Linked DNA regions of Oryctolagus cuniculus. The protein of the gene in region 7 interacts with the protein of the main gene of each other region in a pairwise test. Links are inferred from orthologs where the notes say so. Each region holds a gene or a part of one and is shown on either strand. Other genes may lie near its edges.

What was found.
Region 1: the proteins of DMRTB1 (region 7) and RBFOX2 interact in a two-hybrid assay, tested with the Homo sapiens proteins (3 studies listed by BioGRID). The link is inferred for Oryctolagus cuniculus from reciprocal best matches to the Homo sapiens genes DMRTB1 and RBFOX2.
Region 2: the proteins of DMRTB1 (region 7) and RBPMS interact in a two-hybrid assay, tested with the Homo sapiens proteins (2 studies listed by BioGRID). The link is inferred for Oryctolagus cuniculus from reciprocal best matches to the Homo sapiens genes DMRTB1 and RBPMS.
Region 3: the proteins of DMRTB1 (region 7) and SLAIN1 interact in a two-hybrid assay, tested with the Homo sapiens proteins (2 studies listed by BioGRID). The link is inferred for Oryctolagus cuniculus from reciprocal best matches to the Homo sapiens genes DMRTB1 and SLAIN1.
Region 4: the proteins of DMRTB1 (region 7) and NIF3L1 interact in a two-hybrid assay, tested with the Homo sapiens proteins (2 studies listed by BioGRID and IntAct). The two-hybrid records come from large-scale screens. The link is inferred for Oryctolagus cuniculus from reciprocal best matches to the Homo sapiens genes DMRTB1 and NIF3L1.
Region 5: the proteins of DMRTB1 (region 7) and EXOSC1 interact in a two-hybrid assay, tested with the Homo sapiens proteins (2 studies listed by BioGRID). The link is inferred for Oryctolagus cuniculus from reciprocal best matches to the Homo sapiens genes DMRTB1 and EXOSC1.
Region 6: the proteins of DMRTB1 (region 7) and VASP interact in a two-hybrid assay, tested with the Homo sapiens proteins (2 studies listed by BioGRID and IntAct). The two-hybrid records come from large-scale screens. The link is inferred for Oryctolagus cuniculus from reciprocal best matches to the Homo sapiens genes DMRTB1 and VASP.

Annotation. Positions count from the first base shown.
Region 1 is NC_091442.1:113,182,136-113,185,635, forward strand, and holds part of RBFOX2 (RNA binding protein fox-1 homolog 2), read right to left. Parts: intron 2,526-3,500; coding exon 2,437-2,525; intron 2,075-2,436; coding exon 2,002-2,074; intron 438-2,001; coding exon 383-437; 3' UTR 1-382. UniProt on the Homo sapiens protein: RNA-binding protein that regulates alternative splicing events by binding to 5'-UGCAUGU-3' elements. Prevents binding of U2AF2 to the 3'-splice site.
Region 2 is NC_091433.1:80,425,921-80,429,973, reverse strand, and holds the start of RBPMS (RNA-binding protein with multiple splicing), read right to left. Parts: upstream 2,801-4,053; 5' UTR 2,519-2,800; coding exon 2,453-2,518; intron 1-2,452. Other genes in the region: collagen alpha-2(I) chain-like, read left to right, coding at 2,915-3,685.
Region 3 is NC_091440.1:34,625,649-34,629,148, forward strand, and holds part of SLAIN1 (SLAIN motif-containing protein 1), read right to left. Parts: intron 1,764-3,500; coding exon 1,481-1,763; intron 1-1,480. UniProt on the Homo sapiens protein: Microtubule plus-end tracking protein that might be involved in the regulation of cytoplasmic microtubule dynamics, microtubule organization and microtubule elongation.
Region 4 is NC_091434.1:39,117,357-39,121,516, reverse strand, and holds the start of NIF3L1 (NIF3-like protein 1), read left to right. Parts: upstream 1-1,360; 5' UTR 1,361-1,462; exon of another isoform or gene 1,463-1,507; intron 1,508-3,216; exon of another isoform or gene 3,217-3,309; 5' UTR 3,310-3,393; intron 3,394-3,490; 5' UTR 3,491-3,515; coding exon 3,516-3,951; intron 3,952-4,160. Other genes in the region: PPIL3 (peptidyl-prolyl cis-trans isomerase-like 3), read right to left, coding at 70-72. UniProt on the Homo sapiens protein: May function as a transcriptional corepressor through its interaction with COPS2, negatively regulating the expression of genes involved in neuronal differentiation.
Region 5 is NC_091446.1:32,396,776-32,401,074, reverse strand, and holds the start of EXOSC1 (exosome complex component CSL4), read right to left. Parts: upstream 2,801-4,299; 5' UTR 2,677-2,800; coding exon 2,646-2,676; intron 2,539-2,645; coding exon 2,423-2,538; intron 1,312-2,422; coding exon 1,237-1,311; intron 1-1,236. UniProt on the Homo sapiens protein: Non-catalytic component of the RNA exosome complex which has 3'->5' exoribonuclease activity and participates in a multitude of cellular RNA processing and degradation events.
Region 6 is NC_091449.1:11,380,990-11,384,489, forward strand, and holds part of VASP (vasodilator-stimulated phosphoprotein), read right to left. Parts: intron 1,134-3,500; coding exon 962-1,133; intron 881-961; coding exon 715-880; intron 91-714; coding exon 6-90; intron 1-5. UniProt on the Homo sapiens protein: Ena/VASP proteins are actin-associated proteins involved in a range of processes dependent on cytoskeleton remodeling and cell polarity such as axon guidance, lamellipodial and filopodial dynamics, platelet activation and cell migration.
Region 7 is NC_091438.1:119,539,930-119,544,219, forward strand, and holds the start of DMRTB1 (doublesex- and mab-3-related transcription factor B1), read right to left. Parts: upstream 2,801-4,290; 5' UTR 2,507-2,800; coding exon 1,711-2,506; intron 1-1,710.

The DNA.
Region 1 (3,500 bases), on a different chromosome or scaffold from region 7:
ATTTCTGATCAGATGCATTTATCAGCTCCTAATGTCTCTCCTTCCTCATTCACTTCCTCTTCCGTGACTGACAGAATAAGCTAAGCACGGACATACAGACATGGAAATGCATTATTATTTTTTTTACCACAGTTAAAAAAAGAAAAAAAAGAAAGAAAAAAATGCACAATCTTTGGAACAAAAGAATTAAAGGCAGAAATTTAAAGGAAAAATACATATTCAAAGAACATAGTGAGGTATAAAAAAGTATTCTCTTTTTTTTGTGTTTTTTTTTGTGTGTGTGTGTTTGCTTTCCTCTTCATCTTGCTATAGAGTTCCTCTACTTAGTAAATATTGCAATAGCCAGGCCTCATGGACTGGGGGCTGTCCCACTTGCAGGGTCTCACGTCACTTCAGTAGGGGGCAAATCGGCTGTAGCCACCTCGGTATAAACTCGCCTGCAGTGATTAAAAACATAAAAATAATTAAACGGTTGGTGAGAGAAAACATGAAAAATGAAGAAAAACGTCCCGCAAAAGGATCTGGAAAGAGGTTTCCTTCAGAGCCAAGACAACCAATCAGACACTGCCCCACGCAGGGCCAGCGAAGAGCTTCGCCCGTGGGCATGCGGCCCAGCACCCAGCACACCCTGCTGACCAGACGCTCTCGAGGGAGCACGGTGACGTCCATCAGCCCAGAAGCAGGCCTGACACTGTTAAAACGAGTTCTGCAAAGAGTGTGCTTTGTGCCAGCGGGGCTCGAGGCCGACCTGGTCGACCGCTCCATCCCAGCCAAAGACAGGTGCGGATGCCTCCTCCTCCCACCATGGAGCACTCTGACCAGGCCACTGCCTTTGGCAAGTGCAGTTCTGTCCTATGTAAGGTGGTTCTGTATCCAAACCCGAGTCAGTCTTTTCAATTAGCAAAGTCTATTTCCTATTCCATCTATACAATACGCCAACCAGGTTGTGTCTTGACACACATGAACTTGTATCTATACAATACGCCAACCAGGTTGTGTCTTGACATACATGAACTTGTATCTATACAATACGCCAACCAGGTTGTGTCTTGACACACATGAACTTGTATCTGTAGCGGGGGTTTTAGTGATTGATCCCAAAAGTTCTCCTGTTTTCTCAAATGATGTCATCTAATGGTCTATCTCTTCGGCCAGAAGTCCCCAGTACGGGACTTGCATCATGGGGGCGCCAGGGCAGGCCTCAGGAGCGCCCCCGAGTGTCCTCGTGCTGTGTGTGCTACCTCAGTCTAAGTGCTTTCGGCTTCCAGGGCCTGCTACGGGCCAGCCGCAGCCATCTACCGAGAAACCACGCTGTCCTACTCCAATCCGGCCTGTTTCACACTTCATTCTGCCTCACTCGGATCAGACAACCCAGCTGCACTGGCTGGAGACAACGCGTGCCTCCGGGAGGTGTCCCTGTCTCCTGTCACGGCTGGGGAGTCCCAGCTACGCCAGCCAGGGCGCTGGTCAGGAGGCGTGCTCCACCTGAGTGCCACAGACTTGCAGACTTCCGAGAGCGAGTCCTGCCACAACTGCTGCGGACAAAGTGACCTGAGAAGTGACCCTTGGCGATGCCGAGGGCCAGGTGCCAGGAGGCTTCAGAGAAGCAGACATTCCTTGGCACCTGCGTCTGGAACGCAGACATACCACGTTTTTTGAAAAGCTCTGTGAAAACTGGAGAGCCTTATGCCCCCAACCCAAGCCTCTGCCAACGCCCATGGATAGCACTGCGCCACAGAAGGCACCTGGAACGTGGACAGAGTAACCGTCCACTCGCTCCCTCTCTTCTCCACCGAGTGATGCCCTTACGCAGGCTCTCACGGCTTCCTTCTCTCCGCTGCCCCAGGCAGGCCACGTGGCCACGGCACGGCATGGGGAGGGGACGGAGCGGGGGCTCTACTGTGTTGGCAGTGGGTGAGGGGCCGGATTCGTTACCTGCCTAGATCTTTCCCGTCAGCGGGCACAAGTTAGGGCTCAAGACAGAAAGGTCCACATACTCACCACAGCGCCAACTCCATAGCTAGCGGCAGGGGCAAGGGCATGGTAGGGGTCGGCTGTGTACACCCTGCCATAGCTGAAAAGGAGAAACACAGTCAGAGGCTGGGAGCTACCGAACTGCAAGGGCAGCTGTGGGAGACGCGCGGGTCACTCGGACCGGGCTGTTGTCAGGAGGACTGGCAAGGATGGGTGAAACCTCTCCCGCTTCTACTCGCAGGGCGGTGACTGACACACCCTGAAGGGCATCTAGAAACCAGAGTAGATGCGGGTTCGAGGTGAAGAACGGGGGGGGGGGGGGGGGGGCTGGGGTTCAAGTCACAGGGGGGGGGGGATTTGGGCCCCGTCTGGGCTGGCGGCAGCCTGACGGAGGAAGCGCTGTGGCAGATGGCAGAGGCAGGAAGGGGCGTGGTGCCTGGGCCGGGGCCCCGCCCTACGTACCCGTCGCTGTAGGCGGCAGCGGCGGCGGCCGCGGCTGTGGCTGCGGTCGCAGTAGCGGGCTGTGCGTATCTGTAGGCTGCATATCCACCCTACAGGAGAGAGGAGGACTGACTTTACAGACACGCTTCCCCCGGGCCAGGCAAACACGCACCCGCCCACGCGCATACACACACGTGTGGACACAGGGACAGACACGAACACGGACAACATATGGGAAGAGCATGTTTCAAACTGCCTCGGTCTGCATGTTATGGTTCTGAGAAAATGCGATCCATTCAGCGCAGGGACTTGCTTTCGTCTGTGACGCAGCACACTGTGCACGTGGGACCTGCTGCACGTGAGCAAGGAAGTAGCAGCTTGGATCTTTCTCGCGTCACAGTCTTGGCTGGGAATTTCAACAGTGAAAATGTCAGGGCAGGTGTTTGGCGCAGCAGTTAAGACGCGACTTGGGATGCCCGTGCCCGGTCACACTAACAGAGTCAGGGCCTGGCTCTGCTCACTCCTGATTCCAGCTCCCTGTGCAGCCTGGGAGGCAGTGGACATGGCCCTAGCAGTTGAGGGCATGACAAGAACATGGGAGATGTGGATTAGAGTCTCTGGGAGGGGGGGGTGAACCAGTGGACGAGAGCTCGCTCTGATGCTTACTATTTCTCTGCCTTTCAAATAAAAAGAAAAAACAATGGGAAAATAGTCATGGGACGCTGGGGAACGCTAACTGACAAGGAATGTACATCAGAGTTAAGCACACCCCCATTAAGTGGACATGTGTTAACTCCAGGTGCTCTGATGTGTGCTTGGATTGAGTCGCTGCTGGGAGACCACAGCACGTAGCTCTGCTCCATCCAACCCAGGAGGGCTTTGTCAAGAGGCTACGATGATGAGGCAACATTTAGGAAGGTACACCACAGAGCAGGGGTCGGCAAACTTTGGCCTGTGAGTCAAGGCAGCTTGCACCTGTCTTTGAAAGTAGCTGTGACATAGACCACATGGCCTACAAAACTAAACTATTAACCTTGGCCCTCTGTGGACAAAGTCTGCCGACACGACCTGCACTTCCACCTGGG
Region 2 (4,053 bases), on a different chromosome or scaffold from region 7:
AAAGTGTATTCTGCTCAAGTTCTCAAAAACTCCCACCACCAAAAACTGCAGAAATTTCTCCTAAATGCTGGACTGCTCATTCTATCCAACTGGAGCTAAACGGGGATTTAGGCATCTTTTTCAGGGTCGGCATCAGAAACTCTTAACCGGGGTTAAAATACACTGGATGATAAAAGGAACTCATTTCCATAGAAAATGACACAACTTGGACTGCACAAGGTGGCAAACAGCCGAAGCACCCTGACAACCACAACATCGACCGTTTTCTCACGGTGATTGGAACTCACTGTCCACTGCCGTTCACAAGTCACCAGAAACAGCCCTCCTGTCCTGGTGTGTGCGTGTCCGTGTTACACGTGTATGCCCTGTCTCCTGCGGCCCATTGCCAAAGCTTTCTGAAAACAAACCGCTGCTCCTCTGGGTGGGCAGGCAAAGCGGCCAGTGCAGTGGGATTTTGTGCAATGCTAAGCTCACTGAATGGCACCCACCAAATGCCATATTTATTTAACTTGTGGCTTTCAGGGTTAGGAAAAAAAAGGGGAGGGGGAGAAAGAGAGAGGAGGTTAGTGTTTCAAAACCAGAATGTCAACCATAAACCCTCTCTGGTCAGGGTGTATCCGCAGTGTATACTCTCGCTTCTTATACAACCTGGGTTCTGAAACCTTCCTACCTCCTGTCTTATTTTTTAAGTAACAAGCGTTTTGCTAAAAAGACCTACACCTGGAGGAGCCCACGCCTTTCCCACCCGGAAAGGAACGCTGCTGGGGAAACTAGAAGCAATGCCTGCGACTTGGATGGCCTCTGATCACAGGGACCCACAACCTCGCGATAACCGAGCCCATCCAGGCAAATCCTGGCGGCAGTTCACCTGGCATGGGTCAAGAGAAAAATCTGACTTCTGTCGTCCATTCGATTTTAAGTTAATTGGATATGGTTTTCGAGACACCTGAGCCCATTTTGCTACTACCAAAAGAAAAAGAAAAAAATCTGCAGTCTGATGAACTTTCTCTTAACTACAAGTTTCCTCAACTGGTTAACAGAGAAAGATTGTTTCACAAGATACACTCTCACACTTAGGAGCGGCCAGATTGCCACTCTAAGTGGAACAGAAAGGTTTCTGAAGCAATGATTCTCTTGACGGGTTAAGTGAATTAGCTGCACATGCCAATTCCTGAAAATGCAAATTTGCCATCATTTTTCAGTTTTTAAAGGACAGGGAAAATAAACTAAACAGTAGAGAAGCCAGAAAGTGGAATTTGGAATTCCAGCCTTGGTGTCTTTTTAAAAGCACTGTCACGAGTAGTCCTACATTTGCAGGCACCAAACAAGAAGGGGCAAACAGCTTTTCAAAATAAAGCTTTGTCATAAAACAGGCGATTTCCTCCAGGAGCCAATTCTCAGCTTACTAACTCACCCAGGTGACAACGCTGCTCCACGGCGCTACCTTTTGCATTGTTTTGCATGGTCTTCGCCTGTCTCTCCTATTTAATTAAATAGCTCCAATTTTACACGTGGACGACTTAAAAGGGCTGAGGGATTCCTGCACGAGGTCCACTTCCAACTCTCGGGCCCGGCGCTGCGGCACCGCCTCGCCGCCCGCGCGCACCGCACGCTCTCTGGCTCCCGCACACACGCGCGCGAGCTCTTGGCGGAAGGCTGAGAGCCCCAACTTCGAGGGAACTCAGCAAGTGAGCGGAGGCACTGTTTCTGGGGCTGCGGGAACAGTCATTTGAGAAACCCCACAATCATCCCCTAACTACGGAGTTCTGGAACGTGCGTCCCGCACACCCCTTCCCCACACTTCCTCGGCTTCGCGTTTGCCAAAGGCAAGTGCCCCCCAACTGCAAGCTGTCTCCCCTCCAGGATCCCGGACGCACAACCCAAATCAAAGTCCTACCGCAGCGTCCTGGCCAGCATTCCGGGAGCGACGCTTTCGGCCCCTCTCATTCTGCTCCCCACATCCACACCCCGCCCCCGAAGTCTACCACAGCCCGGGGTTCGGGGGTTCCCGCCTCGCGGGCGGCGAGTTATCGATGAATCCACACACGCCCCGGCTCCGGAGAGACTTGGCCAAGAACTTTTCACACCGGCGCCAGCGCCAGCCCCTAACAGAGCTTCTCCCCAACTCCTTCCCAAAGCCGCCCGCACGCACGCACACAGACACACGCACTCCCTCCCGCCGGCTTCCAGCCCCTGGCGCTCAGAGAAGCCCTGACCCTCGGGTCCCAGTAACCTGAGGTCACCCAGGAGTCAGCTCTCGATTCCGCTTTTAAAATCCCGGGCACACAAAGCCGAGCATTCTACTTGGAGGGTGTCTCCGCAAAGTTCTGCAAGTCACGCAGCGCAGGGTGCGCGGACACCCCCAGAACCCGCGCCCTGGAGACGCACCCAGCCGGGGCCACGGCGCGCCGGCCCCCGGACGCGCCCCGCCGCCCGCCCGGGCCACCGCTACCTCTTCCTCCTGGAGGTTGGCCTCGCTCGGGGTGTTCTCCTTCTCGGCTTTGCCGCCGTTGTTCATCTTCCCGGTCCTTCGTCGCCGGGCAGGGCTGGGGCGCGGGGCTGGGCGAGGGCGCGCTCGCCCGCTTCTGCCTTCCCCGGGGCGCCGGGGCTGCCTCGGGCGGGCGCCGCGGGGCTGCGAAGGCTCGGGCTGGGCTCCCGCGGCGCGCAGACGACGGCGGCGGGCGACTCGGGGAGGAAGTGCGGGCAGGGCGCGGGCGCGGGCCGGCCGAGCGGGGCGCGGAGACAATCGCGACCGGGAGGGAGACCTGGGGCGGGAGGGCGGGCGCGAGGGAAGGAAGGAAGGGAGGGAGGGAGGAAGAGAGGATGGGGCGAGGGCGCGCGTCCCAGGAGTGAGCGCGGAGAGCTGGGGCTGGGGGCTGCCGCTGCCGGAGCAGAGCGAGGCTGGAAGGAAGGGATGGGGCGGCCGGAGAGGAGGAGGAGGAGGAGGAGGCGCCGGCCGCGGCTGGGACGCTGGGACGCGGAGAGCCGCTGGCTGCGCGCTCCTGGCCGGCTTTGGGAAGTCCGAGTCCGCTGCAGCTCCTTTCTCTCGCCTCCCTCCCTCCCCTCTCCGCTCTCCCCTCCCTCTCCGCCTCCCTCCGCCCTCCCTGGACGTGGGCTGCCGCCGTCAGCCCGCAGGGACGGGACGGGGGCCGCCGAAGCCCCCCGGCGGGAGGAGGGGCCGCGGAGTCGGCGCGGCCCGGGCCGGATGGCGCGCGCCGGGGAGGGGCGGCGGCGCGGAGCGGAAGCGGCCGACCCCGGCCCCGGCTCGACGGCAGAGCGAGGGCCGGGCGGGCTGAGCAAGGGAGGCTGGAGAGCCGGGTCCCCGGGCGCACGCGGCGTCCCCCGCGCCCCGGCTCGGAGAGGGGGCTTCGGGGAGCCGGGCCCTGGCCGTGCGCGGACCGGGGGCTGGGATGTGCCACTTTTGTTTGCCTGCTTTCCACGAGGGAGCTGCGCGCCCCCGGGCTCCTCGCCGGTAGGGGCTGAGACGCGGGTCGCGCCCTCGGGGCGAGGGCTTGGAGGCCCGGGACGGAGGAACGCCGGGGACAGCCGGGCCCCCGTGAGCCCCCCGCGAGCCCCCCGCCGGCCCGCTCTGGAGTTGATTGTTCACCTGGCCTCTCTTTGGGGAGCGCCTTCCTGGCAAAGGAGACCGAGCCCTGTTTATCCGGCTAATCCCGCGGCTGTTTAAATGAGCCCCCCGGCACACAGTGGGCACTTTTCTAAACGAGTCTTGGCAGGCAGCCCTGGAGGGTCAAGGCATTCGGGCAAAGCGAGGCGCCCGCCTAGTGTTCCCGCCGCGCCTCTGGGGGACTGCCTACTTTATTTTCTCGTCCGTGAAATGGGTGCAGTTACCCCGGAGTGTGGGGGGCACGCCTCACACCCTCCTGCCCGCTGTAGGCTTACAACATGGATGCTAACATCATTATGAAGAAAATTTCCATTTCTTCTGGGCCTGGAGCCTTTTGTCTTATGGGTCCAGTTATGCGTCTAAACTTGACTGCTACAAATGTATAACCTTACAACTCGCAACTAGTTCGTTCAGCGCCGCCTCCCGCT
Region 3 (3,500 bases), on a different chromosome or scaffold from region 7:
ACATTCATGTACACTTCTTTGTTCCAATTAACTTACATTTTATTGAAATGTTATTTCCTGCACATGTCACATTCAATTTTTTTATATTTAGAAAAACAATTTCCTTTAAAAATGTAAAAACATTCATAATCCTTTTATACATGAAATGGCAAGACATAGGATTTTTTTTTTGTAGTATTTTGCCTAACCATTCATACCAAATAAAAGACAGGTGCACAGCCAAACCAAAATATTTTTTTAAAAAAATTGGTTTCTGAATTTGTTTTTGACCTGAGCACCCATTACTTATAATGAGAAGACAAAAATCAAGACTACTAATGTGCACATCAATATCTAAGTCAAAAAATTACTTGCTCCTACATACCTTTTAAACTTCTACAGTGGTTCCCTCCCACTCCTCCCTCATATTCTAATTTCTTATAAGAGTTGTCTCTGTCTACTTTTGCAATTTTCTTATCTCCTACTCTCTCCTCAATCCACTTTTATAAATTTGTAATTTTAAATTTTATTTATTGTGTTTAAGAGGTAGAGAGATAGACCGACCACTCATCTCATGGCAAAGAACTCAACCCAGGTCTCCCATGTAGATGGCAGGAGCCCAATTACTTGAGCCATCACTGCTACCTCCTGGGGTCTGAATTAGAAAAAAAGCCAAAAAGTGGAGCCAGGACTCAACCTCAGGCTCTCTGATACGGGATGGCTGTCCCAGGCAGTAGATGAACAGCTGTCTCAAGTGTCAGCCCCATGCCACTTGAAGAGACTCAGTTGGAGAAGTGGACATCATAATCAGGAGGAGCTGGGCCAAAATGTCCTCTGCAAAGAACATGGAATTTTGAAGGTAAGGAAAAAATTCACCTGGGACCATATGGAACTTACCAGCAAGACTGAACTGACTACTCTTACAAAGCCCAGCTCAATGTCTCTATGATGTTTTTTAAACCTCAAGTGTGAGGGAGGGTATACATAAGCAGATGTACCTGAGATATTTTTCCATATTTTGGTCAAAAGTAATTGACTCAACATGCATTGGAGACCTCTTATCTGCCAGGCATAGTTCTTGGCACTGGGGATATATGGTAGGAAACAAATGAGACAACTGTCACCAGCCCTCATGGAGCTGGCAACTTAGGGTGGAAAGTCATTGGACAAAGACCTGAAGGAAGCGGATGGCAAGTCATAGCAGGGAAGAGAAACACAAAAGCACCGGAGATGCAGCTCATTCAGGAAATTAAAGAAAAAGCAGACAGCTACAGGAAAGAGTGAGTGATAAGAGAGGAAGAGAAGAGCATGATGTCACAGGGAAGGGGACCTGACCACACAACCAGACCCATCGCTTTCTAAGACAGAGGAGGACGTAACTCCGGCCACAGAGGGCAGTGACCTACCAAAGTCAAACCGAACCAAAAGGAAAATCCGGATTCTTCCTGGGGGCAATTTTAAATTCCAATCTGTAAGTGAAGTTATGCAGAGAGACGCTCACCTTCTAACAGGTTGTGCAATTTTGCTTCGAGGCAGATTACTCCCATTTATTGCCAAAGAAGGTCTTGGAAGCGCGCTGCGGCCCATTGTCCCAGACGCTGCAGCTTTGTTTGGTGTGGGGATTCCTGTGTTGGAATACAACTGCAAGCCACTGGACAAAGGCATGTTACTGCTGCCTTGAACGGTGGGACTCACGTAGGCTGTGGCTTTAAGAGGTTGTCGTACAGACACGGGAAAGTGTCCCACGCTGTGGACTCTGTGCTGAATTTGTCCTGGTGACGGAACTAGAAGAGAAAATCAAGTTCATGTGAGGAAACGTCTACTTCTATCCAACCTAAGAAATGTGTGCTATATTTGGAAGAACCTATTTTGTTTCAGAGTACAACATACATGGGGGAGTTAAAGACAGGTTCTAGGCAGCATTTTGTAATGCAAATTGCTAATGCTACATAAGACTCTCCTGTTTGGTTCACCAGCAATGCAGTGGAGTGTCTACCCACATTCAGAAGTCAGTTCTAAGCACAGTCTCCTTTCTTTTAGTAAAAATAATAATCCCCTGAGTTCTTGGAAGACAAATTCTCCCTTGTTCACTTGAAGACATTCAGATTTCTTGATGCTACCTGTGGGAATGTTTTTATGAAAATAAAAAATAAGGGGACAGTTTAATAGTTGCAGTAGAAATGAAGACAGAGTGATATCTGTGGTCACAAGCAGGTTATTACGGACATCTTCTTTAAATATTCATTATGCCATTTATCTACATCCCAGGGTGACCGGTAAGACTGAATTAATCAATCCAAATGAAACTTCAGAATAGTGCCTGGCACTTAGCAACGCTCAACAAGTACTAGCTATCATCACTTGTTTGAAAAGATTTATTTATTTAAAGTCAGAGTTAGAGAGGGAGACAGAGATATTGCATCCACCGATTCACTTCCAAGTGGACTCAATGGCCTGAGCTGGGCCAGGACAAAGCCAGGAACTTCTTTCAGGTCTCCCATGTGTGTAACAGGGGCCCAAACACTTGAGCCATCTTTGGCTGCTTTTCCTAGGCCAGGAGCATGGAGATGGATGGGAAGTGGAGCATTCAGGACATGAACCAGCATACATATGGGATGCCAGCATTGCAGGAGGTGGCTTTAACCATTATGATACATGAGACCCAGCAGAAAATTTTAAATTCTATAATCACTTTCTCTAAAAAAAAAAATCACAAATTTAACAAGAACTCATACACACAATTCTGTTCATTTACTAAGTACCCTAGTCTCTGTTGCCTACCACCTACAATTCAGTTAAATGTGAATACATTTTCTAAAATAGTCTAATATTTAACTTAATCATAAAGTAAATGATATATTCTTTTAATAAAAATAGGAAGGGAGAATGATAAGATGTATCTATCTTTTTTTTAGTTTAATATCTCTTGAAACTTTAAAAAATTAGTTTTGTTCAAGTATATATTAGGTAAAATCTATACACAGAAATGATGAAATATGAGGGAATTTCAAAGGTTCATGGAAAAACAATTAAAAGATGAGAAAAGCCACATTCCCTGCTGACTTTGAACCTGGCTGGGAGGGTTGACAGGGGGCTGCGCACCTACACAGGACTGTGAGGTGCCCCAACCTCTTGACCTATCACAGGCTCCAATTGCCAAGGTGTAATCTCCACAAGCAGCTGGCTCTGGGAATGTCTCTGTTCTCTCCATGGACAGTGCAGGCTCATGGGGTCAAGTGGATCCTCTGCACCCCTTGGCCGTGAGAGCCTTGCATTCAGCAACTGTGAGAATTCTGTGATTGCATGATAGGACGGGGGTATAGCTGAGTCTCTAGGCAATCACTGTGTATGGCATCATAGGCTCAGAAGTTGCTGACAGATTGGGGAGGGTCACTAAAGAGGGTTCCTTGCTCACACTGAGGACCACACAGATCCTTTGTGCACTTCATGCACCAGCATGGATGGGGGCTGTAGTCACTGTGGGCTAACTCTGGTAATCGATCACATGGGAGAGATGAGGA
Region 4 (4,160 bases), on a different chromosome or scaffold from region 7:
TTCACCTTGTCACTAACAGTTCTAAAAATTACTTATGAAAGATATTTATAAAAATTCTATAAAACTTACCATTTTTCTTCTTGATAGTTCCAGGGAGTTCTTTTTAACTTCTCCGAGTCTTAAGAGAAGCTCAAGAATAAGTCTATTCCCAAAAAGAAGAAAGAATTAAGGTCATTTTCCTGCTGTCTTCATTCACAGAGGCTCATCTTTATTGTAAATAAGAAAAAGCCTGGGGTGGTATCCCATGTAACAAAAATCCAGTTACAGAAGTGATGAGACCCTATGGAATGAAGCCCAGCAATCTGCTACTTCTACTCACTCTTCTCTAAGAGCCTCTTTGCAAGTCCAATAAGCCAGGTACATTCCCACCTTAGAATCCAGGCACTGGCTGGCAACACTAACACTAACACTTTCTTACAGCTAATTTCCTTACCTCTAGGTCTCTCCTCAAATGTCAAGTCTTACTTACCTCACAGCCCTATTTAAACAGCTGCAGGAGCCAGCACTGTGGCTAGTAGGTTAGGGCTCTGCCTGCTGCCTGCCATCCCATGTGGGCGCGGGTTCGAGTCCCGGCTGCTCCACTTGCAATCCAGCTCCCAGCTTGTGGTGTGGGGAAGCAGCAGAGGATGGCCCAAGCGCTTGGGCCTCTGCACCCACGTAGGAGATCGGGAGAAGGCTCCTGGCTCCCGGCTTCGGATCAGCTCAGCTCCGGCCATTGCGGCCATTTGGGGGAGCGAACCACCGAATGGAAGATTCTCTCTCTCTCTCTGCAACTGTCTTTCAAATAAATAAAAATAAACAAATGTTTAAAAATACAGTGCTCGAAACCCAGGACCTGTACTGTTTTCTCTTCCCAAATTACTTATCACTAACATACTAAACATACTAAATCCTTTCCTTACTTATTCTGCCGTTCCAGCAACACATTTGCCACACAGCACGTTCACTCCAAGTGTCCCAAGAACTAACAGTGCAATACAGGGCTCAGCAAGCCCTTGAAAAAGTAAATGAAAGAATGAATGAAGTTGCCCCACACTTACCCACTTCGGTCAGCACAGCCGTTGTTAAACAGCGAAGATGCAATTGCAGAAGCCTGGACAAGTCTTTCGGTTCTCAATTACGAGTTTGGGGGCCACCGGAAGTCGGGCGCGGGACCCATTAGAGAGAGCCTTCTTACCTCCTCTTTCCTCCCTTCTTCTAATATCAAACCAAAATGACTAGCACTAGGGAAACAATGTGATTTATCCGCTAATTTGAAATTTGACGGCGAGGTGCAGCTCTGTTAACTGCACTGGAGTCCGGAGCATAACCCGGAACTACCCGCCAAACTCAGGCAGTGTTTTGGGTACGACTGTAAAACAGGAGGGACCAACTTCCGCCCTGTTCCTCGCTGCCTATAGCCGAAGGCCAGGAGAGCCGGCTCGGGACGGGAAGTGGTGGCTACGGAGGTGTGCCCGGACTCGTGAGTAGTGGGCAATTTAAACCCGAAGAGAGGAGTTGTGGCAGGGTAGGAGATGACTGTTAGACGTGGGTGCTGCAGAAAAAGAGGGCACAAAACTGCCCTGCTGAACGAGCGCAGAGGGCAGTGGTGGGGCGGGGTTCCCGAGGACCTACACACTGTGCCTTCTGACCCTTCACTGCCTGGGAAAGGCTTGAAGTAGCACTGGAGTGAGCTGGAGACGAAGCAAGGCAGAGTCGTTTGCAGGTCGTATTGGCTAGCGATAACACAGGGGCTCTAGGACAGGCATTGTTCCTGCCTTGTGTTTAAATCTCGCCTGCGTACTACGAGCTGGGCGTTTTTATATTCGTCTTTTTACAGGGCAGAACCTCAGAAGTCAGGTACTTTGCCCGTGGTGGCACAGGTGTGGCCGAGGACTGCGGTCTGGCCTCCGTCAGTGCAGTTCACCAGCGTCCTGGGCTGCCACCCACTGTTCTCGCTGCCTGTGGCTCCGGGCTTGGAGCCGCCCGTTCTCTCGTGGCGGTGTTTCACCGCCTTCTTTCCAAGCGCTCTTTCACGTGTAAACGACGGAAACCCTTCGCGGTGGCACGCCGGCTTTGGAGCTGGCCAGATTTACAAGAGTTGGGAGAGTGGATTAGTATCAGGATATGTAATTGGAGGGTGGAAGTGGTGTCAGAACCATTAGATCTTCCAAGACCTTGCGTGGTTTTGGAAAGTGGTTTTGGTTTCAAAGTTGCCCCTCTTCCAGGCCAGCTCTCTGCCGTGGCCAGGGAGTGCAGTGGAGGATGGCCCAAGTGCTTGGGCCCTGCACCCCATGGGAGACCAGGAGAGCACCTGGCTTCTGCCATCGGATCAGCGTGGTGCGCCGGCCGCAGCGCGCTGGCCGCGGCGGCCATTGGAGGGTGAACCAACGGCAAAGGAAGACCTTTCTCTCTGTCTCTCTCTCTCTCATTGTCCATTCTGCCTGTCAAAGAGAGAAAGAGAGAAAGAGAGAGAGAGAGAAAGAGAGAAAGAAAGAGAGAAAGAAAGAGAGAAAGAGAGAAAGAGAGAGAGAGAGAGAAAGAGAGAAAGAGGGAAAGAGAGAAAGAGAGAAAGAAAGAATTAACCAGGGGTGAGCATTTTGGCATAGTGGTTAGGATGCTGCTTAGGACTCTGGCATTCTATTCTGAAATGCCTGGATTCAAGCCCCAGCTTCTGATTCCGGTTCCCTGCCAATGTACCCCTGGGAGGCAGCAGTGGTGGGTCAAGTCCTTGGGTCCCTGCCACCCATGGGGGAGACCTAGATTGAGTTCTAGGCTTCTGGCTTCCATCTTGTGGTCATTTGAATAAAATATGAAAGTAAATAACAGTGTAAAAAGTAATATATTGAGTATCCACATCCTATTAAAATATTTTTGCAATAGACATTGTGAAAAAATTTATTTTTGCTATCACTGTGTTATGCTTATTCATTAAATTTATAGTTGGCTATATTTCTTGTATTTCACTGTAGTAACAAAAAGCTAATGTACACTCTGGAGGACCTGTGAAGTAGGTTATAGTCTCCATTTTTTATTTTACTTTTTACAACATTTATTTGAAACCCAGAGTTAGAGAGAGAGATCTTCCATCTGCTGGTTCATTCCCCAGATGGCCACAATGGCCTTGGCTGGGCCAGTCTGAAGCCAGGAGTTAGGAATTCCATCTGGATCTCCCATGTGGGTGGCAAAGGTCCAAGCACTTGGTCCATTTTTCACTGCTTTCTCCGGGCGCATTAGCAGGCAGCTGGATCAGAAGTGGAGCAACTAGAATTGAGGATGGCGGCCTTGGAAGAGGCAGCTTAACCCACTGTGCTGCAACGCTGGCCCCAGTCTCTGTTTTTCAGATGAGCAAACAAAAAAGCTACAAGAGGTTAAATGACTGAGCTAAGTGGCAGAGGCAGTATTTGAACCCAGGTTAGTATGACAGCAGCTCTTTGACTCAGATGCTTTGAAGCCTCGGAGGTGCAGGCCTGAACTGTACATGTGTACTCTTCTCTGTGTTTGACTTCAGAAACTGAGCGTTGCCTGCTTGCTGTATGTTGTCATCTTGTGCACGCCTGGCCCCCTCGACAGTCCGGCTTGTCCATTCTCTGAACTGCAGTTCTTCCCGTTCCTTCATGGATCTGAAGGCGCTCATCTCCTCCTTGAATGACTTTGCATCCCTGTCTTTTGCTGAAAGTTGGGACAATGTTGGGTTGCTGGTGGAACCAAGCCCACCACATACTGTGAATACACTCTTCCTGACCAATGACTTGACTGAGCCAGTGATGGAGGAGGCTCTGCAAAAGAAGGCGGATCTCATCCTTTCCTACCATCCACCCATCTTCCTACCCATGAAGCGCATAACCTGGAAGTCCTGGAAGGAGCGCCTGGTGATCCGGGCTTTGGAGAACAGAGTTGCCATCTACTCTCCTCACACAGCCTATGACGCTGCACCCCAGGGAGTGAACAACTGGCTGTCCAAAGGGCTCGGTGAGAAGCCTCTTGTTCTTTCATATTTGATACTTTCTCTACAAATACTTTGAAATTTTAGAATGTCTTTCCAGTAGAGTTTTAATGTTTTAGGGGTAAGCAGGGTATTCTATTTTTATATACTTTGAAATAATGTTGCTGAAATATGGCAATTAAATTGCCTTTGAGAAATGAAACATCTTTTACCCTTAATGAGTGAGGAGAGAGCA
Region 5 (4,299 bases), on a different chromosome or scaffold from region 7:
TTTGGTCTGGCCTAGACCTGGCCATTGCAGCCATTTGGGGAGTGAACAAGCAGATGCAAGATCTTTTCCCATCTCTCTCTCTCTAACTCTGCCCCTTCAAATAAACAAATAAAATCTTAAAAAAAAAAAAGACTCGGCCGGCGCCGCGGCTCACTAGGCTAATCCTCCGCCTGTGGCGCCGGCACACCAGGTTCTAGTCCCAGTTGGGGCACCAGATTCTGTCCCGGTTGCCCCTCTTCCAGGCCAGCTCTCTGCTGTGGCCCGGGAGTGCAGTGGAGGATGACCCAGGTGCTTGGGCCCTGCACCCCATGGGAGACCAGGAGAAGCACCTGGCTCCTGGCTTCGGATCAGCGCTGTGCGCCGGCCGCAGCATGCTAGCTGCGGCGGCCATTGGAGGGTGAACCAACGGCAAAGGAAGACCTTTCTCTCTGTCTCTCTCTCTCACTGTCTACTCTGCCTGTCAAAAAAAAAAAAAAAAAAAAAAAGACTTTACATTTAATAGGAATTCCAGAGAATAAAGTCTTTTGCTTCTCTGCAGAAAAAGGCCGCAGCCACAGATGTTCAAAATTAGGTCTCCTTTTCACCCATTTCCTAGATGTTGGAGGGAACCACAAAGTCAGGGAATCGGCTCAAATAACTATGCATACCCAAATTTTGTTCATTTTCCTAGAAATCTCCAGACCACTCAGTCCAGTGAGACATTCTGTGATGATAGAAATACCATGTGCTGACCAAATTAGCAACCACTAGCCACAGTAGCTACTGAGAGCTGGAAATGTGGCGAGTGGTTAGTATGCTTAATGAAATGTTAGTACTGTCTAGCATATTTTGAAATATTTATTTGAGAGACAGAAAGAAAGAGAACACTTCCACCCACTGATTTATTCCTTAAGTGCCTGCAGTGGCTGAGGCTGGGAGTCAAGTACTTAATCCAGGTCTCCCACATGGTGGTAGTAGCCTAACTACTTGGGCCACCACCTGCTGCCTGCCAGAGACTGCATTAGCAGGAAACTGAAGTCAGCAGATGGAGCCAGGGATCAAACCCAAGCATTCCAACATGCGATACAGGTACTTCAACGATGTCTTAGCCGCTAGGTCATATGCTTGCCCTGACACTGTTAAATTTAAATAGCCATATGAGGCTAGTGGCTATCAGACTGGACAATGCAGTTCAAGAATGATCATGCTCTGTGCACTGGGTTGGTGTCCTAAGCATGGAGGCTGGTAACAACTTACCTTACATGTTACAATAGAGCCCACATCTGGAAGTAATTGGGATTCCGCTTCTCTCATCACAGACACTACCGGGAGCTACAAAGAGAACAGTAAAAAATGAATGTTCTGGCTAAGCCCTGAGTAAAGTGTGGCTGGAGAGTTCGACAGGAATGCTGTGGCACAGAGTTGAGGTCACAAGGCAGATGGACTATGGATTCATTTACAGTCCAGGACAGAGGGTCTTCCATTAGGAAGAGCCCCGGGGGCCCTGGCAAGGCTGCTGTAGAAGACATAAGTTAACCATTCCAGAGCAGAGTTGGTTTTTTGGTGACTTGGAATTTCTCAGTACACCACTATATTACCTGTAGCCATGGATTTGATTCTGACCTCCAAAGTCGCACTGTTTCTATTTCTTATTTTATTGCCCGGCTAACATTTCTAAGTGTTTTATAATACTGGATACTGGTTTCCTTCTATCTTTAGAGAATATCTGTAGGGCTTTCTTTCTGAGCAAGCACGTTCTAATTCTGAATCCTTTTTCTCCTGTGCTACCCATCTTTAAGCTGCTCCTTCCAAGACTGCGTATCTGATCGGGAGCTGGTCCTGGTTTGATCTCTGGAACTGGCCAGGACAACATCGCTCATGTATTCAACTGACCATCTGCCTTGTGCCGGGCACTGCAGGTAAGGTGGGTGGTGCGGCCTGCTTGCGTGGAACTTTGGGCGTTTGCAGGCTGAAACAAGTGCTCGGAAGTGAGTTTAACAAAATAAAAACAAGACTCAACCTCCCCCACCCCCACCCCCGCCAAAATCCCTTCCAAAAAGTGATACGAGAGGCTAGTTGAACGAGGTCAGAGTTACATAGACCGAGGAGAGGCGCGCGTTCAGGCGGATGGCAGGAGACACGGGGGAAGCAAGCCAACTGCACTGCGGGCAGTGCCGCCGAGCCGGATGAAGACGGACAGGTCGGGACTACTCGGGCGGGATTCGGCTGGCTGCCGGATTGGCCGGGGTCACTCTCAGCTCGCAGCTGCCCCTAGGGGTCGGCAGCCCCAACCGCGCGAGGTCCACACGACCGGTGTGCGGCGCCCACGGCCAACCGAGACCAAGTCGTTCTACAGGGACGCGCCTGCCCTACCCGGGCCTAAGGGCCGGAACTCAAGGGCAGTCCATGACAAAGAAGGGAGATGGCCAGCCGCCCCGCGTACCGCGCCGTTCTCGCTGGTCTTCGTTAGACAGCCGGCGAGGGAAGAAAAGATGTATCCGTGCCGTGTGTAGGTGCCGCTGCCTGGGCTGCCCTCCTCCAAGTTACACAGACGTTCGCCTGCGGAAAGAGCGCTGCATCGGTCACTGGTCCCCAGAGGCTGCTAGGCGTCCTGCCTTCCTGCCTCTGGCCCTAGCCGGGACTCCGTACGGGAGCCGTGCACTTACCGGGGATGCAGTACCTTACAGGTGGCGCCATGACTGCCACTGTCCCAGAGCCCGGATGGAAACGAAGCCGACGTCTCGTTGGCCGAACCCAGACACAGTGCTGCAGTAAGGAACGTGCCAATTGGCGGGCTTTGTCACGTGCCCGGCGACACGCCTCCTGCAGGGCAAACTCCATTTCCCAGGTTTCCCCGGGAGAAGGCCGGGGGCGGAACTTCGGGCTCGTGTGCCTGCGCCTGCGCCTGCGCCTAGGGTTGAGGATGGGCAGGCGGCGGGTCCGGGTCCATTGGCAGGCGCTGCGGCTGGCGGGGCATGGTGGGACGGATTGAGCCAGGCCCGCCCGGGGCGCCAGGCTGGAGTAGGTGGCAGTGAGCTGCGGCCGAGGCTGCGGGGCGTGATTTGGATGATCGAGGAATTGGCAGGCGGCAGGTAGGGGCGAAGCCGTGGCCCTTGCTCCCTCTCATAGCCCCTGTTTTGTAGGGTCGGGCCCTGCCCCAGGGCCCTGTCTTGAGTCTGGTTTCTTGCTCTCCTCGCCCCGCCCTGCAAGGCCGAGCAGTCCTCGGGCGAGGCGCACCCTCTGGGCAACCATAACGCACAGAGCAGAAGTTAACCAACCCAACTTGCCCATTTCTCAGATTTGGAAATCCAACGCCAGGGTTTGACTTGTCCCGAGCCTTGAAGATAATTCAAGATAGAGCGCAAGCCGGATCCAAGCTTTCGGCTTCCAGTGCATCGCGGTTTGACCATGCCGCCCTACCTGAAAGATAAGGCTCGTTCTGCAGCTGTAGTTGTCCGGGCCCTTCTTTAACTTTTGACGAACTGACCCGTGAGAAAGTTGCTACCCTTTCTCTTAGCGGGTTAGCCAGGAAGGGAAGTGGGCACGTGAGTAAGTTGCTATTCTTTACTGACTTCTGACATCTCTTGCATGAGCTTGCACACATCCTGAGAGCAGCATCTTTGTCTAGATGAGATTGGCACGACTTTGATATTTTTTTAAATTTATTTGACACAGAGACAGAGATCTTCCATATGCAATGGAAGCAGGATTTTTTTTTTTTTAATTAATTAATTTGAAAGGAAGACATGGAGAGGAGGAGAGAGATCTTCCATCCACTGGCTCATTCCTTAAATGGCCGCAATGGCCAGGGCTGGGCCAGCCAGGAGCCAGGAGCTTCTTCCGGGTCTCCCACGTGGGTGTAGGGACCCAAGCACTTGGGCCATCCTCTGCTACTTTCCCAGGCGCATTAGCAGGGAGCTGGAATGGAAGACTGAGAATGAGAGGCCAAGGAGGGTGTTAATCACTGCCAGACGCCTGCCCCTGACGTTGGCTGCTTCATCTCCCTTCCAGTGGCTTTGGAATCTGTCCCCTCGCCTCCCCCCATTGGTTTCCCCTTGGGAACAGATGGCGCTTTAGAGCCCTGGGAAGAGGGAGGTGCCTTGGCCTGTAGTCTCCTGTAATATGATGGCAGATGGCCACGAGAGCCTGTGGCTGCTGCTGACAGGAGGACTCCGGTTGGTGCTTGGTGCAATAGTAGAACTGCCCTTTGCTCTGTTCCCTTCTCTCTGCACTGAGATTGCCCCTTCCTCAGACGCACATGATGTTTGGAATTTTGCTTCGCCTCGGGGGAGAAGTCCATTTCGTGGTGGTCCATGGGTG
Region 6 (3,500 bases), on a different chromosome or scaffold from region 7:
CCTACCTTTTGTGCTGCTCCACCTCTTCCGGGGAGGGGCCGTTCTGGCTGGCCCACGCGGCAGGTGCTGGGGGCGGCGGAGGCCCACCTCCTGGGGGTGGCAGGGGAGACAGAGCCGGGGTCAGCCTTGCCTGTGGCCTCCCCCACCCGGCTCAGGAATCCCACCCAGGGGCACTCACTTCCTTCCTCCCCCAGACCCTGGGCAGGGGCGACACCACTCCCCCTGCCAGGGCGGCCAGGACGCCCGGGGACAGTGGGGAAGCCGAGTCCAGGTGGACCCCTCCCCCTTGCCTCCCTCGGTCCTGCCCAGCCCCGGGTGGCCAGGGGGCCCGGAGTCGCAACCACCTCTGTGTGTGGGCAGTTTCGGTTCCACAGTGGCTATGCCACACCCCAGAGGCAGGGCGGGCAGCGGAGGTCAGCGGCTGACCTCAGGTCCAGGGCTGGCAGCCCTGGCATCGCAGGGGGCTGTGAGCTGTGCAGTCTCGGGCCCCACCCACATTCCCCAGGTGAGCCCTGGGAGAGCAGGCCTGGAGGCTTTCCTGACGCCGGGGCTGGTGACAGAAGCCAGCACGGGCTGCGGGGGCTCCTGGGGGCTGGGACCAGGCTGCGTCCTCCGGAGTCCACACAGGAGCCCTGTGATGTCCCACAGTAGCGACCGAGCGGCTCCATTTTCGAGATGGGTAACCCGAGGCCCCAGCCGGCGGCCGGCACCCACCTTCCAAGGCCTCTAGGGCCTCGGCCATGCCGGCGGCGAACTGCGCCGCGTCCTCCTTGCTGCCAAAGTTGAGGCCCCAGACCTGGCGGGCGTCGCGCCACTGGTGGAAGTTGGGGGTGGCCTGATTGTACTTGATGCCCCGGACGATGGCACAGTTGATGACCACCTGGAGGCAGGGAAAGCGGGGTGAGGGCGGTGGCCCAGGGGGCGGCCCCAGTGTGTGGGGGGGATCGGGGGGGACGCGCACCTGCTGGTCCGGCTGCATCTTGCGGCCCACGACCCGGAAGGAATTGGCCGTGGGGTTGTGGTAGATCTGCACGCGGCTGAAGGCCTGGGGCCCCGTGCCCGCGGGGAGCCATTGCTTGTTGCTGTCATCGTAAAGCATCACCTTGGCCCGGCTGGTGCACACGACCATCTCACTGCGGGAGGCGCAGGGGAGGCGGGGTCACCCTCGCCACCAGGGGCAGGGGAGGCGGGGTCACCCTCACCACCAGGGGCAGGGGAGGCGGGGTCACCCTCGCCACCAGGGGCAGGGGAGGCGGGGTCACCCTCGCCACCAGGGGCAGGGGAGGCGGGGTCACCCTCGCCACCAGGGGCAGGGGAGGCGGGGTCACCCTCGCCACCAGGGTCTCCCTGGGAGACGCTGCGAGGGGGAGAGGGCGTGACACAGCCCCCCCCCCCAGGAGACCCAGGCAGAGAAGATGCTGGACGGGGGGCAGCTGAGACCAGTGCGCCCTGGGGGGTGTGAGATGGATGGGGAGAAACAGGAAGAGGAGACATGGAGACGCAGGGGAGGGAGGAAGGTGCCCTGAGCTGCTCTGGGGCCAGCCCTACCTCAGTTTCCCTCTCTGCCAAGTTTTGGATGCCCCCCCTGCTGCTCAGAGCAGAAGAGGAAGCTGAGGTCGGGGAGGGGGAGGGGAGGCCTGTGGCCGGCCGGGGACAGCACAGACCCCTGCTCTCCACTGCAAGGGGGTGCCGGGCCCCCACTGCATCCTTCCGGCTCCCCTGGGCACTACGGGCCTGTGTTGGGTGCCACTGGGGACAATGACACAGCAGTGGCCCAGATGGCCCTGGCCACACCCTCCCAGGGCTCACAGTCCAGTGCCTCAAGACACGGGTCCCTAGGCCGTGATGCCCAGGGCTTGGACCAAGGAGCCGCCCAGGCTACAGGCATGGAGGACGCGGGGCCTGCTGCCCACTCTGCAGGAGGGGGTCAGAGTTCCAGTCTGCCGTCCGCAGGCGTGGATTCAAGTCCCTGCAGAGCCCCGAGGCCGGAGCCTGCACACGGGAAATGAGGGCTGGGTGCCCGGTCGGCCTCGGCTTCCGTGCTGCGGTCACCCTGTGGCCGGCCGGGGACCTCCCACCGTTCCTGGGAGGTCGGAGCCCCCCTCCCCCAATGAGGAACCCCAGGCTCCCCCAGGGGAAGTGACTCGCCCAAGGTCGCACAGCCCAGGGGGAAGCGCCGGCCTCGGCTGGGTGCCCCCCACCGTGGGTTTTTCCTGAAAAGAGGAAGTTGGCGGCTGGGGGGGCGGGGAATGACACCCACAGAGGCTCTGTCTCCACCGGGCGGGTGCTGGGGTGTGACACTGACCACTGACACGGCCCAGCCTGGCACCCTCACGGCAGTCCTGGGGCGGACATGACCTCCCCCTCGGCTCAGAGGCGACCAGGGCCGGGATGCGCCCCCGCACACACTGCTAAAGCAGCGGCAGGGGCAGGATTCGAACCCAGGTCCGCAGTCTTGCCCCCCGGGGACTGCGCCGGCCCTGCCCAAACACCAGGTGCAAGCCAGAGAAGCAGGCCTCCAGGGCTGTTTCTGGTTCCCACTGCCCCCGGCAGGGCAGGTAGGGCTAAGGCCGCGCCCACACCTGCCACCCACACCCAGGGCAGGCTCTGGCCCGGCGCCCGGGGCCACTGCCCCACCCTGGCTGTACTTTGGGCTCCCAGCTGGCCCTGCCCTGCTGAGGCTCTGGCCTGGCCTCGGGGCCAGGCACCTGCTGGGCGACCCTGGGCGGCTCCGACTCCTGCCCCGTGAGAGCACAGGGATCCGGCTGAGACCCAGAGGAGGGGCAGCACCATGCCCCACTCTGCAGGATCCACACCAGGTTCCTGCCGGCCTGGGTGCCCTGCCTGCTCTCCAGTCTCCTCTCCCAGCGCCCACTGACCAAGGCCTGCCCGAGCCCTGTGCAGGTGCAGCCCCCTTCAGACGTCACCTCTTCCCAGAAGCCCTCCCTGGCCACCTCATCTTCCTCCGGCTTCCCCGCGACACGGTTTCCAGCAGCGTCCCTGCTTGGCACGCGCCTGTCTGCCTTGCCAAAGCACCAGGTCCAGCGGGGCAGGGATACTCGCCCCTCTGCGCACCACTGCGTCCCCGGAACCTGGAGGGCGCCTAGCACACGCTCTGAACACATCCGAGTAAAAAGGCAAACCCGGCGGCACAGTGGCTGGCGGCCCAGACCGCGCTCCCGGCTCCCACGACCCCACAGCCTCAGGAGACCAACCCCGCTGCCTGCCCGGGCACAGAGAGGTGAAGACACTTGGCCCAGGTCACACTGCACGAAAGCACCGGGGCTCCTGTCTGATCTCATTTAAGACGCGAGCCCACTTACTCCAAGCCCACTTACGTTTTAACCTCACGGAAAGATGAGGAAAAGGCTGGGTGGCTCAAGAGTCTGTCTTTCCCCCAAAAGTGTGGAGGCTGCTAACAGCGTCACACGCTGTGGCGGGAGGCGGAGGCAGGCTGGGGGCTGGGGGCCGTGGGCACGGGGCCCTCGCTTCACTCTTCC
Region 7 (4,290 bases):
CAGCAGAGCTCTCCACCAGGATCTGACCACCGTGGTCCCTCCCACCAAGACAGGAGCCCTGCGGGCAAGCAGAGGGCTCCACCCAACACCCCCCACCCCCCTTCACATTGCTGACGTCCAGCATGGGCCAAGTGCTCAGTGCCTGATCCCTGGGAGCAAACCAAGAATGGCATCCCGTCCCTGGGAAGGTAAGCAACTAGGATGGCTGTGGAGGTCTGTTTTTCCATCGGACAGCTAGTTCCCTGGGGACCTGGATTTCCTTGGAAAGTCCCAGAAGGCAGAAGTGACTGCAGAGAGCAAACCAATTCCCTTAGCGTGAAGACAGGGAAACCTGTGCAAGACTACAGGGCAGGCAGATCTCAGCTCTGTGCCCTTTCTACCACACTGACACAGAGAAAATACCTAGAAAATGAGTGCGCTCCAAGAGCTGGGTTTTTAAAAGCCTTGAGTCTACAAGTGAGGGTGCTGCAGTGGGTAAAGGTCCCACTCAGGAAGCCCACATCCCAGACTGGTGTCCATGGGCTTCCTGCTAACGCACTTGGGAGGCAGCAAGTGATGACTCAAGAACCAGGCTTCCCGCCACCCACACAGGAGACCAGAATCCAGTTCTGGGCTCCTGGCTTTGGCAGCTAGTATTTGGGCAGTGAACCAACAGGTGGAAGACTCCTCTCTGCCTTTTAAATAAACAAATATTTAAAAAAAGTAAAGTCTACATGTCTCTGCCTTTCCCTCTCTGTAACTCTGCCTTTCAAATAACCGTTTTTTAAAAAAATATGTTTAAAAAGTCCACAGGCGACTTGAAACTGTATACCAAAAGCAGCAAGATACAGAGAACAATGTAGTTCACGCACAAAGCTGAGAAAAACATCTCGTTCCCTGTTGGAGACCAAGCCAGTGCATGGGCAACCACTCTCACGCAAAGGGTGGGAAGAGGCGCACAGGTGCACTGGGCCAGAGCACAGCTCAGGGGAGGAGCGTGCAGACCGAGTAAAGGGAGAGACATGTGCGCAGGCCCGGTATGGCCGGAAAGTTCTAGAGAACGAGCCTTTAGCCAGACAAAATGGCCGAAAGCGGTGCGCATGCGCAGATAGATTGAACAAGGGTGGGGTTGGGGGGAGAGTACTCTGGGCGGGGCCTCTAGTTCCCCCCCACCACCCGCCAGGGAAGGAAGGGTGCGCAGGCACTCATGGGTTGAACCGAGTTGGGGTTCGGGGAGCGTACTCTGGGCTGGGCCTCTAGTCTCCCGGCCAGGGAAGGAAGGGTGCGCAGGCGCAGTGATAGCTGAGCCACGCCCACCTGCCAGAAAGTCTTGAAGGAAGAGGACGCCCGTGTGAGACAGGAGCCGGAAGAGCAGCGCAGGCGCAGTAGGGCTGGTCTCTCCCTGGAGTCCCCAGGGGGAGCCACCGCTAAACGCCCCGGGAGCCATCTTTTTTAAGGCCAAAACTACTCCCTAAATATTAAAAGTCCTTTCGATCTCCCTTTCTCTTTTGCTTTTTCTAAGAAAACACCCATCCCAAATCCTCGTTCAGAGAAGGGTTGCTCAGAGCCAAGCATCTTCCCCACCTCGAGCCCCCAGGCCCCGCCAGCCCCTACCCCAGCGGCCTGTTCTGTGGGTTCGGGTCTCGGGCCACGAGCTCGGGGAGCAGGGAGCCCGCAGCCGGGAGAGGAGCGGACGCGGCGCCAAGGCAGGGCGAGGTGCGGGAATCTTACCGAAATCCGCGAACGGCGGGCTGGGCGGGGGCCGCAGCGGCCTGCACAGCTCCAGGTGGCCAGGGCCGCCCAGGCCTGCTGCCTCCAGCCCGAGCTGGGCCGCCACGTGGCCGCGGCCGCCCAGGACAGGCTGGAAGGCGCTCGGGCCCGGGCTGGGGCCCCGCGGCGGCCTCTCGCAAAAGTAGGCAGCCGCGCGGCCCTCGGGCTCCGGCCGGAGATCTCCCGAAGCCGCCGGCGGAGGCAGCAGGTGGAGGCCTGGGCCCTGGCTGGCGGCCGCGGCCCCAGCCACCGCCCCGGCGGCCAGCTCAGGCGCCTGAGGGCCCAGGGCCAGCTCCTGCTCCTCCTCCGAGGCCTGCTTCCTGAGCACCTTCTGCGCGGCCATGATCTTCTGGCGCTCGGTGATCAGGCAGCACTTGTCGCAGGTGCACTGCTTCCAGCCGCACTTTCCCGCGTGGCCCTTGACGGGCACCAGGAAGCCGTGGTTGCGGCACCTGGAGCACTTGGGGGCGCGCAGCATCTTGTCGGCCAGTTTAGCAGCGTCTGCCTTCATCGTGCAACCGCCACCTCGGGGAGCCGCGGAGCAAGTGGCGCAGCAGTGAACTGCGCCCCACAAGTCCCTGGTGCTGGGGACAGTGGATACACTTGTAGCAAACCGGCACGTAGTGCGTCCCGAGAAACGCCCAAAAACTGCCGCCAGACCCTTGCATTCTCTCGCCCTTTTTTTTTTCGGTGCAGTGCAAACGTTGGGATTTCTGTGCCTTTGGTAAGTAGGTGCAAGGGATTGGGTTAAATACATTCTTCATGGAGTGCTATTGCATGCATGTCATCTGGAATATCCGTAGTCTCAGGCATTTAATTTTTCAAACTCGATATTCCCGCCATCCCAAGACGGGAGGTACTTCGTGATTAAAAAAAAAAGGCGGAGTGATACCCAGCGGCCCACAGATTTAAAACTTTAGAAAATCGCCTCTTAGTAAACCCGTGACAGTATAAAAGCACTTTAAGAGGCAGAACGCCTTTCTCCTTCCCGAGGCTGCTGCTTCTGCGGAAGCTCATGTCTCCTCCTTGTAGAGAAACAGCCGTTCACGGGGAGGCTTCTAGAATATTCTCGGGCACTCTGTGCCGCGTGGGGGTTGCTGAAGGGTGTGTCCTTCCAGTCATTCCGGCTGGGGAAGAGTGTTGGGATAGGAATCCGTTTCTGGAAATGGTGCTTTTCTGTTGCTGATGCCTTCGGGAGGCAAACATGCTTAGAATGTTTTCAAGTAAAATAAACCAAGGGTATTTTGGCACTGGCTTGAAGCATTGCTTAACTCTTTGGTTGTCGCTCTGAAACAATCCAGGTCTTGGGAAAAGTCGGCACAGGCTTCATAGTTTACCCAGGGGCACTAAATCAATACGTATTCTTGATTTCTCTCTCTTTTTTAATAGAAATTGGTGAATCCCTGAGGTCCTTTTATTTGGGCAAAGAAAAAAAAAAAAAAAGAGGTGTGGGATGGGCCGCTAACCGCTGACAGGCTTCTAATCGTAGGCTGACCCTACTGAAGGAGGCAGTGAAGGTTAGCCGCTGGCTGAAGTGTGTGTCCGCTACTGCCCTCTCTCTGTTCAGGATGCTCTTCCTGGCTAGCATGGCAGGTGCGGCCTAGCTGTGCACCCTGCCGTCTCACCAGCTGCCTGGGGATAGGAAACCATTGCCTTTCTGAGACCCGTGAGAGGGTAGAAAGCTGAGAGGAGGTTTGTAGTCTTTTTCTGCTTAAAAGAATATTCTTCATCTTAATAACAGGGCAAAAGTAGATGTCACCTGTATTCTTTAGGAATGCTGCCGTTAGCTTTGCATTCATTTAAAGAGGGCTACCTTTGTCTCTGCTTCACTCTTAACACTATATATTTTTTAAAATTATTTATATTCATCCGAGAGGCAGACTGACAGACGGAGGTCCCATCTACTGGTTCACTCCCATTTAAATGTCCATAACAGGGCAGGCGCTGTGGTACAGCAGGTTGGGCTATGGCTATAGCTGCAGCACCAGCATCCCATGTGGGCTCTGGTTCAAGTCCAGGCTGTTTCACTTCCAGTCCAGCTCCCTGCTAGTATACCTGGGAGGGCCCAAGTCTTTGGGCTCCTGCACCACGTGCAGGACCTGGAGGAAGCTCCTGGCTCCTGGCTTCCACCTGGCTCACCCCTGGTCATCGCAGCCATTTAGGGAGTGAACCAGCAGATGGAAGATTCTCTCTCTCTCTCTCTCTCTCTCTCTCTGTAAGTCTACATTTCAAATAAATATATACATCTTAAAAAAAATAGCGGTGCTGAGCCAGGCCACAGCCAGGAACCAGGAACTCTTTCTGGGTCTCCCACATGAGTGGCAGGAATCCAGATACTCAAGCGATCACCTGCTGCCTCCCAGGGTGTACGTTAGGTGGAAGCTGGAATCAGGAGCAGGACTGGGACTCGAACCCAAATACTTCCATGGGGGATGCAGACATCTTAACAACTAGATCAAAGGCCCACCCCTACATGATTTTTTTTTTTTATTTTAAAAGCATGATCCTTTGGATAAAGGATAGGCAAGCTCTTTTCCTCAA